Linked DNA regions of Macaca mulatta. The protein of the gene in region 2 purifies or fractionates together with the protein of the main gene of each other region. This does not show direct contact. Links are inferred from orthologs where the notes say so. Each region holds a gene or a part of one and is shown on either strand. Other genes may lie near its edges.

Region 1 (3,651 bases), on a different chromosome or scaffold from region 2:
ACAACTAGCATGTAAGCTCCATGAGGACAGCTTTCTTTACTGCAGGGCTTCTCCAGGCCTCTGTTTATGTATATTGTGACTCTCTGGCCAGAAAATACAGTCTATAGTGTTCCCCAGTCCCATTCGATACTGGAACCATTAGTTTGTGTTCCTGTTATTCTTAGCCAAACAATTTGTACCATTCTTCTCTAAACCATAGAACTCCTACAGTCTTATAGAACTCCTGCCTATTCTTACAAACATCATCTTTTAGAAATATTTTAAAGTATGACTTTCTAATTCTGGAAAATGATTGTACAAAATGGTTGCACAAAATAATTGCATCATAATTTGCAAGCATAAATAATTAAGAACTGTACAACTACTGCTAAGATGAAACTCAGCATACTTCTTCCCCCATTTAATTTCTGGTAATTTATTTTGTTTCTACTTCAATGGAATAGAAATAAATAGGACTTGCATAGTTGGTGGGGTGGGAGTATTTTGTTTGTTCAAGAAAGTTCTGACCATAAATCAAGCCTTTCCTCTTTATTTGAGGCTTCTCTTAGTATGTATAAACTTTTTTATTTCCCATGTTTGCCACTGAAATTTTGAGATTTACCAAACAGAATGGACTTTTGGAAGCCAAGATAATATGCGTACAGATAGGAGACAAATGGAGAGGTTAGAAGGATTGTTATAAGATGTTGTATTTATCATGTTTCATGCTATAAAGAGGCTGTGTGTATGTATACCATGTGATTTGGTTTAACCAGTGTCTTATTACTAATACAGGGAAATCCAAGAGATATTTTCATCTCCTGCTTGTCTAACTGGAAGTTTTTTAAGGAAAAGGTAATATATGTAATAAATTAATTGTATTAAATTGTATTAAGAGTACCATGAAAGAGGATAAAAAATGATTGGAGGGTAAAATAATTAGCTGTGTGTTCGTCCCTTTCTAAAAATTGTTTTTTAACAAAAGTAAATATATGCTTGCTGTAGAAAATGTCAAAAATACATACAATAAAAAGAAAGTGAAAATCTTCCATAATCCATCACATAAGAGTAATAGCTAGCACTTATGTATATTATTTTTTCATGCAAATGTATTCTTTTACAAAAAATGAGATCATACTGGTTTTTTGTTTTTGTTTTTTGAGACAGGGTGTTACCCTGTCGTTGCCCATGCTGGAATGCAGTTGTGTGATCTTGGCTCATTGTAACCTTCGCCTCCCAGGCTGTAGCAATCCTCCCACCTCAGCCTGAGTAGCTGGGGCTTCAGACATATGGCACTACACACAGCTAATTTTTTTATTTTTTTGTAGAGCCAGAGTTTTACCATGTTGGCCAGGCTGGTTTCGAACTCCTGAACTCAGGCAATTTACCAGCCTTGGCCTCCCCAAGTGCTGGGATTTCAGGCGTAAGCCACCATGCCCAGCTGGATCACATTGTTTATACGTTGTTTTATACTTAATGTTTGCCCATTTTACATTTTGTTCTATCTTTTTTGGTATACATATGTGTGTGTGTGTGTGTATGTATGTATGTATGTATATATATATATATATATATATATATATATATATATATATGTATTTTTTTTTTTTTGAGACAAGGTCTCCTGGAGTTACAGCATCATGGTTCTTGGGCTTAAGCATCATCAAACTCTTGGGCTCAAGCAATACTCCCACCTTAGCCTTCCACGTAGCTGGGACTACAGGCATGTGCCACCATCTCCTGCTAATTTTTTAACTTTTGTAAAGACAGCAGCTTTGCTATGTTGCCCAGGCTGGTCTTGAACTCCTGGCCTCAAGCAGTCCTCCCACCTCAGCCTCCCAGTGTTGAGATTATAGGTGTGAGCTACCACACGCAGCCGGTAACATAATTTTAATGGCCTCATGACCTTCCATTAGAAGGTCTTCCATGAGAAGATACTTAAACATTTCATTAATGACTTTATATTGAAGTACTAAGAAATTATTGGTCAGAAGCTCCCTCTTTTGGTTCCCACTTTTCAGTCCATTTAACTGGAAAAAATGGATGTATTTTTTAGAAATGGGAAAAACCTTTATCTTTTTTCTGTGGAGCTCCTTCCTTCCTTCCGTCCTTCCGTCCTTCCTTCCTTCCGTCCTTCCTTCCTGTGGTTGGTCCTTCCTTCCTGTGGTTGGTCCTTCCTTCCTGTGGTTGGTCCTTCCTTCGTTCCTTCGAAAAACATTTATCTTTTTTCTATGGCCCACCCTTCGTCCCTCCCTCCCTTCCTTCCCTCCCTTCCTTCCTTCCTCCCTTCCTTCCTTTCTTCCTTCCTTCCTTCCTTCCTTCCTTCCTTCCTTCCTTCCTTTCCTTCCTTTCCTTCCTTTCCTTCCTTTCCTTCCTTTCCTTCCTTTCCTTCCTTTCCTTCCTTTCCTTCCTTTCCTTCCTTTCTGAGGCAGGGTCTCGCTCTGTCACCCAGGCTGGAGTACAGTGGCATGTTCACAACTCACTGCAGCCTTGACCTCTCAAGCTCGAGCAATTCTCCTGTCTCAGCCTCCCTCTGTGGCTATTTTTTTTAAACTGAGAAATATTTATTTTTTTAATCTATTACAGATAAGACAGCATCTGAGTTAAAGTCTTATGGTATATATAGTTAAAGCAGCCTTGATATTTTTTGGTATTTTAGAAAAAATCATGTTGTTTACTACATTGCATTTGTATTTAGACAATTATAGTTATACATGAGAAAAAATGTAATTTTGTTGAAATGGGGCAAGCTCTGGAAGAAACTTTGCATCTAGAGAGATAATCTAACAAGATACTTAATTTATCTTCTACAGAAGAACTACAGAAATGATGCCTGTTTATTTGGACTTAAATAAAGCAAGAAACATCTTCAAGGAGTTAACCCAAAAGGACTGGATTACTAACATGGTATCTTCAGATTGTTATGTGGAGAAAGAAAATAGACCAGAATATTTCTTATAAGAACTCAAAATTTCAGAAGAAATGTTTTGTGTTAAGGGATTCTCCGAGACCTTGTAGCATATTCAGATTAAGTTAAACTCAGATAACAATTAGGAGTTTGCCCTTTTAGGGTGAAATAATTGGCATAGTAGTCACACAGGTTACAAATATTCTAAATAATGTGTCTGTACACAAACACACATGCACATATATGCATACACATTCCTAGAGGGAGGGAAGTTTTTCAACTCAGGGCTTTAGGAAGATGATTAAGGATTTGTTGAGATTGGCACACTAGAATAAGAACATTTTATGTGCAATCCTTTTAAGCGTAAATGTAGAAATAAGAACATTTTTTCTGATATGAATATCCTTCTCACCAGGGACTGCCTGGATTCTTTGTTTTTTTTTTTCCATTCCACTTTTCTGTAGATTCTAGAATGTTCTTGTTCTTTATGGGATGATTGCTTCCTGTTTCAGCACTGTTAGTACTATCTTTAAGTTTTTTTTCTTGCAGGTGCTCCGAACATGCTTCCTTTATTTTTATTTTTATTTTTTTGGAGATGGAGTCTCGCTCTGTCGCCCACACTGGAGTGCAGTGGCACAATCTCGGCTCACTGCATGCTTCCTTTATTAATTTAGTTTTTCTTAATGTAGTCTTTATTATTTCCCTGTTTTTTTGTACTGGTTGATATAGGGATACTACTTTCTGTTCTTTTCTCCATTTTTTTC
Region 2 (3,651 bases):
CCCCTATCGCAGCCATACTTCCTACTTACTAAGGAATACAATTCCTATTTATTGATCACTATGCTTAGCCATCCAACGGCTAGAGATGCTTCATTTTCAATTCTGCAACAAAGGTAAATTCTACTTTGACAATTTACCTTTATCAGAGGCCAGTGGGATGGTGGGTGTAAGAGCTTAACCACAACTGGTAGTCCATAGTGAAGGCGAACTGCATTCTGGGCCATCTCTGCTTCTTGGTGTCGGCTGGTCAGATGACGAAGAGCACAGATGGCAGGCTCAGTGATGTCTTCCCTGTCACCAGCCCGAAGGACAGTACGCACAAGAGCCTCTATACCACCCACTTGGCAGACCATCATCTTATTCTTATAATTATTGCAAGTGAGGTTAGAAAGAATTCCAGCTGCACAGGTGACCACATTTATATCATCTGAACCCAGAAGCTGAACAAGAGTCCCAAGGAGACCTTCCATCCCTTCCTATGAAGATAAAAACAAATGGTCAGTACAAGCACATACTCATCTTGACTCTATTCCCATGGCGTCAATTTACTCAGAATTTACCTGTTTAGTTGCAGCATCTGAAAGATTCCTGAGAGTCCAAAGACAGTTCTGAACAAGACGTTGACTTGGATCTGTCAGGTGAAGTCCTAAAGCTTGCATTCCACCTAGAAAATTAAAAAGGATGTAAGACCCTAGTCATTAGCTAGAAGTTGCTATCAATCCTAAATATATTTTCTAGTCTTAGAAGGTGTCCTTCTTTATTTCCAGAGTTTACTTCCTTTTACCTAAGTATTTGTTTTCCTCTCATTTTCTAGAATGTTGCTCAGTTTCCCTCGTTTTGCCAGTTCACATCGCTAGTGACAAATTGTCAAATAGCTACTGTTCCTTTCCTAAGCCGAAGAAGTCTTTGTTATCTCCACTATCCCCCTTAGGTAATATATTTTTTTTTGAGACGGAGTCTCGCTCTGTCGCCCAGGCTGGAGTGCAGTGGCACAATCTCGGCTCCCTGCAACCTCTGCCTCCCGGGTTCATGCCATTCTCCTGCCTCAGCCTCCCGAGCAACTGGGACTACAGGCACCCGGCTAATTTTTTATATTTTTTAGTAGAGACAGGGTTTCACCATGTTAGCCAGGATGGTCTCGATCACCTGACCTTGTGATCCGCCTGCCTTGGCCTCCCAAAGCGCTGAGATTACAGGCATGAGAGCCACCACGCCCAGCGGTAATATTCTTATTAATTTCTTTTCATCCATTCAATCATTTCAAAAATATTTATTCACTATCAGGTCCTGTTCTGAGCTGGAGATAGACCAGTGAGCAAAAATATTCAAAAGTTCCTACCCTCAGAACTTATGATCTAGTTGGAAGAGGCAGACAACAAATATACAATAAACTAAAACCATACAGTAGGTCAGATGATATTAAAGGGCTATGGAGAAAAACAATGGAGTGGGGCTGCAATTTTAAGTAATTAGGTCACCTCACTGTGAAGGTGACATCTGACTAAAGACCTAAAGAAGCTAGGTAAATTTCTGGGGTAAGAACAATCCAGAAAGTCGGCATGAAAACACTTTACTGCCAGGGACTTTATACAGTTCACTGACTGCAATACATGTGTTCCAAGGTTCACGACCTTCCAATCCTTTAGGACCCTTAAATGGGGGACATTTACTCTGGCAAAGGAGTATAAATGGAAACCCAATGCCCACATACTAGATTAACTTCACCCCTCCATCTTCAACTTAAACCACTTCTAAATGCAGTAAGAGATACTTTTCCTTGTCTCCTTCATCTTTTAGGTCTGTTTTATTTCCTCAGATGAAGTCTATTTGCTGTAATTCTTACGGTACCCTGCACTTCTCCTTCATAGTATAAGTTAGTCCACTTTCCCTACAAGACAAAGATCACCTCTATTGGGTTCCTTTTTCATAGTAGCTCCAGCTACTAATAGAAGGATCTGCATAAGATTGATACTCAGGATGCTCAGTATTTGTGAAATGACTACCTTCTTTCCCCTCATTAAGACTTCATTCCCTCCCTTTACATAACTATTAACTCTGAGAATGGATTTTAACCCCAGATGTCCATCAGAATGGCCTACAGAGACTTTAAAACACACACATTCTGTTTCAGCAGTTCTAGGGTAAAAAAAGTCCCATGCAGATGACTCTGTGGCATCTCTATCTCCCGTTCCCTGCTGCCCTTACCCCTATATACTAAAAGGGAAACTTCCAAATCTCTAGCCTGTCTCTCTTGCATTCTCTAGTACCTTACATTTCCAGCTACCTACTGACCTTTTAGTCACTTTAAGTCAGCTTCGTTTTTTTTTTTTTTTTTTTTTGAGATGGTGTCGCTTAGGCTGGAGTGCAGTGGCGCGATCTTGGCTCACTGCAAGCTCCGCCTCCCGGGTTCATGCCATTCTCCTTCTCCTGCCTCAGCCTCCCCAGTAGCTGGGACTACAGGCGCCCACCACCATGCCTGGCTAAATGGCTAATTTTTTGTATTTTTAGTAGAGACGAGGTTTCACCGTGTTAGCCAGGATGCCTCGATCTGACCTGGTGATCCACCTGCCTCAGCCTCCCAAAGTGCTGGGATTACAGGCGTGAGCCACCACGCCCGGCCTAAGTCAGCTTCTTAAATTATTATGTTCAAAAATTAAGGATGCCTTCTGAGGGTTCCATTTATCTTCATGGTACCAATACTGTCCCCTCCACAAACCATTTTTGGTTGCTCCCTTAGCTCCTATATTATTACATTCTGTGATTCTTTCAGACATCTCAGACATTTGCCCTTAGCTATTTAGTTCTAAAACCAAACTATTTGATTCCTAAAAGCCTATAACATCTCAGCAGTCTGGTCTTCTACCTTTTGGTCATTCAAACTGTTAATCTAAACAATGCTATTATTAATATTTTAAACACACCACTGTGATGCTTTGCTATTGATCAACAACCATCAAAAGTGTCTCGGCATCCTTTTAAGATAGCAGACAATACTTTAGTATAACCCCGAGAAACCGTTTAGAATTTGGATCCCACCTAGCCTTCCAAACTGACCAAGTATTCTGTATCTATGGCTCCAAAGCTGGAATAAAGCATGAATAAACTCCATGAGTAGTAAACATCTTATAGGAACCTAGAAAGTCCTGCATGTTATGGCTCTGCTTACCTAACCTCAACCTCATACCAGGCCATCCACCTCATTACTTACTAAGTTCTGTTTACACAGACCTTCTCTTCAGCACCTGGATCTCCACAATCTCTTTCCTTCTAAGGCAAGCTTGTCCAACCTGCAGCCCATGGGCCACGTGGCCCAGGACAGCTCTGAATGTAGCCCAACACAAATTCGTAAACTTTCTTAAAACATTATGAGATTCTTTTGCAATTTTTTGTTTGTTTGTTTTAGCTCATCAGCTATCATTAGTGTATTTGGTGTGTAGTCCAAGACAATTACTCTTCTTCCAATGTGGCCCAGGGGAGCCAAAAGACTGGATACCCCTGGTTCTAAAGACACAGCACATGGTGTTCCTTTTCTCTACCTGGAAAACATTTAACCCTCACTTCTCATACAGACAAGAGAAAGGTTCCTTCTCATCCTGCAGTCCCACTTATCCCCTTTTCAAGGAGACCCTTTCCCTCTCATCTAATTAGACA

The links. The genes of interacting proteins can lie anywhere in the genome.
Region 1: the proteins of CTNNB1 (region 2) and HERC5 purify together in Homo sapiens (affinity purification with western blotting; 3 studies listed by BioGRID). This does not show direct contact. The link is inferred for Macaca mulatta from reciprocal best matches to the Homo sapiens genes CTNNB1 and HERC5.

What each region holds. Positions count from the first base shown.
Region 1 is NC_133410.1:97,791,354-97,795,004, forward strand, and holds part of HERC5 (E3 ISG15--protein ligase HERC5), read left to right. Parts: intron 1-774; coding exon 775-834; intron 835-2,792; coding exon 2,793-2,886; intron 2,887-3,651.
Region 2 is NC_133407.1:104,572,520-104,576,170, reverse strand, and holds part of CTNNB1 (catenin beta-1), read right to left. Parts: intron 665-3,651; coding exon 561-664; intron 477-560; coding exon 138-476; intron 1-137. UniProt on the Homo sapiens protein: Key downstream component of the canonical Wnt signaling pathway.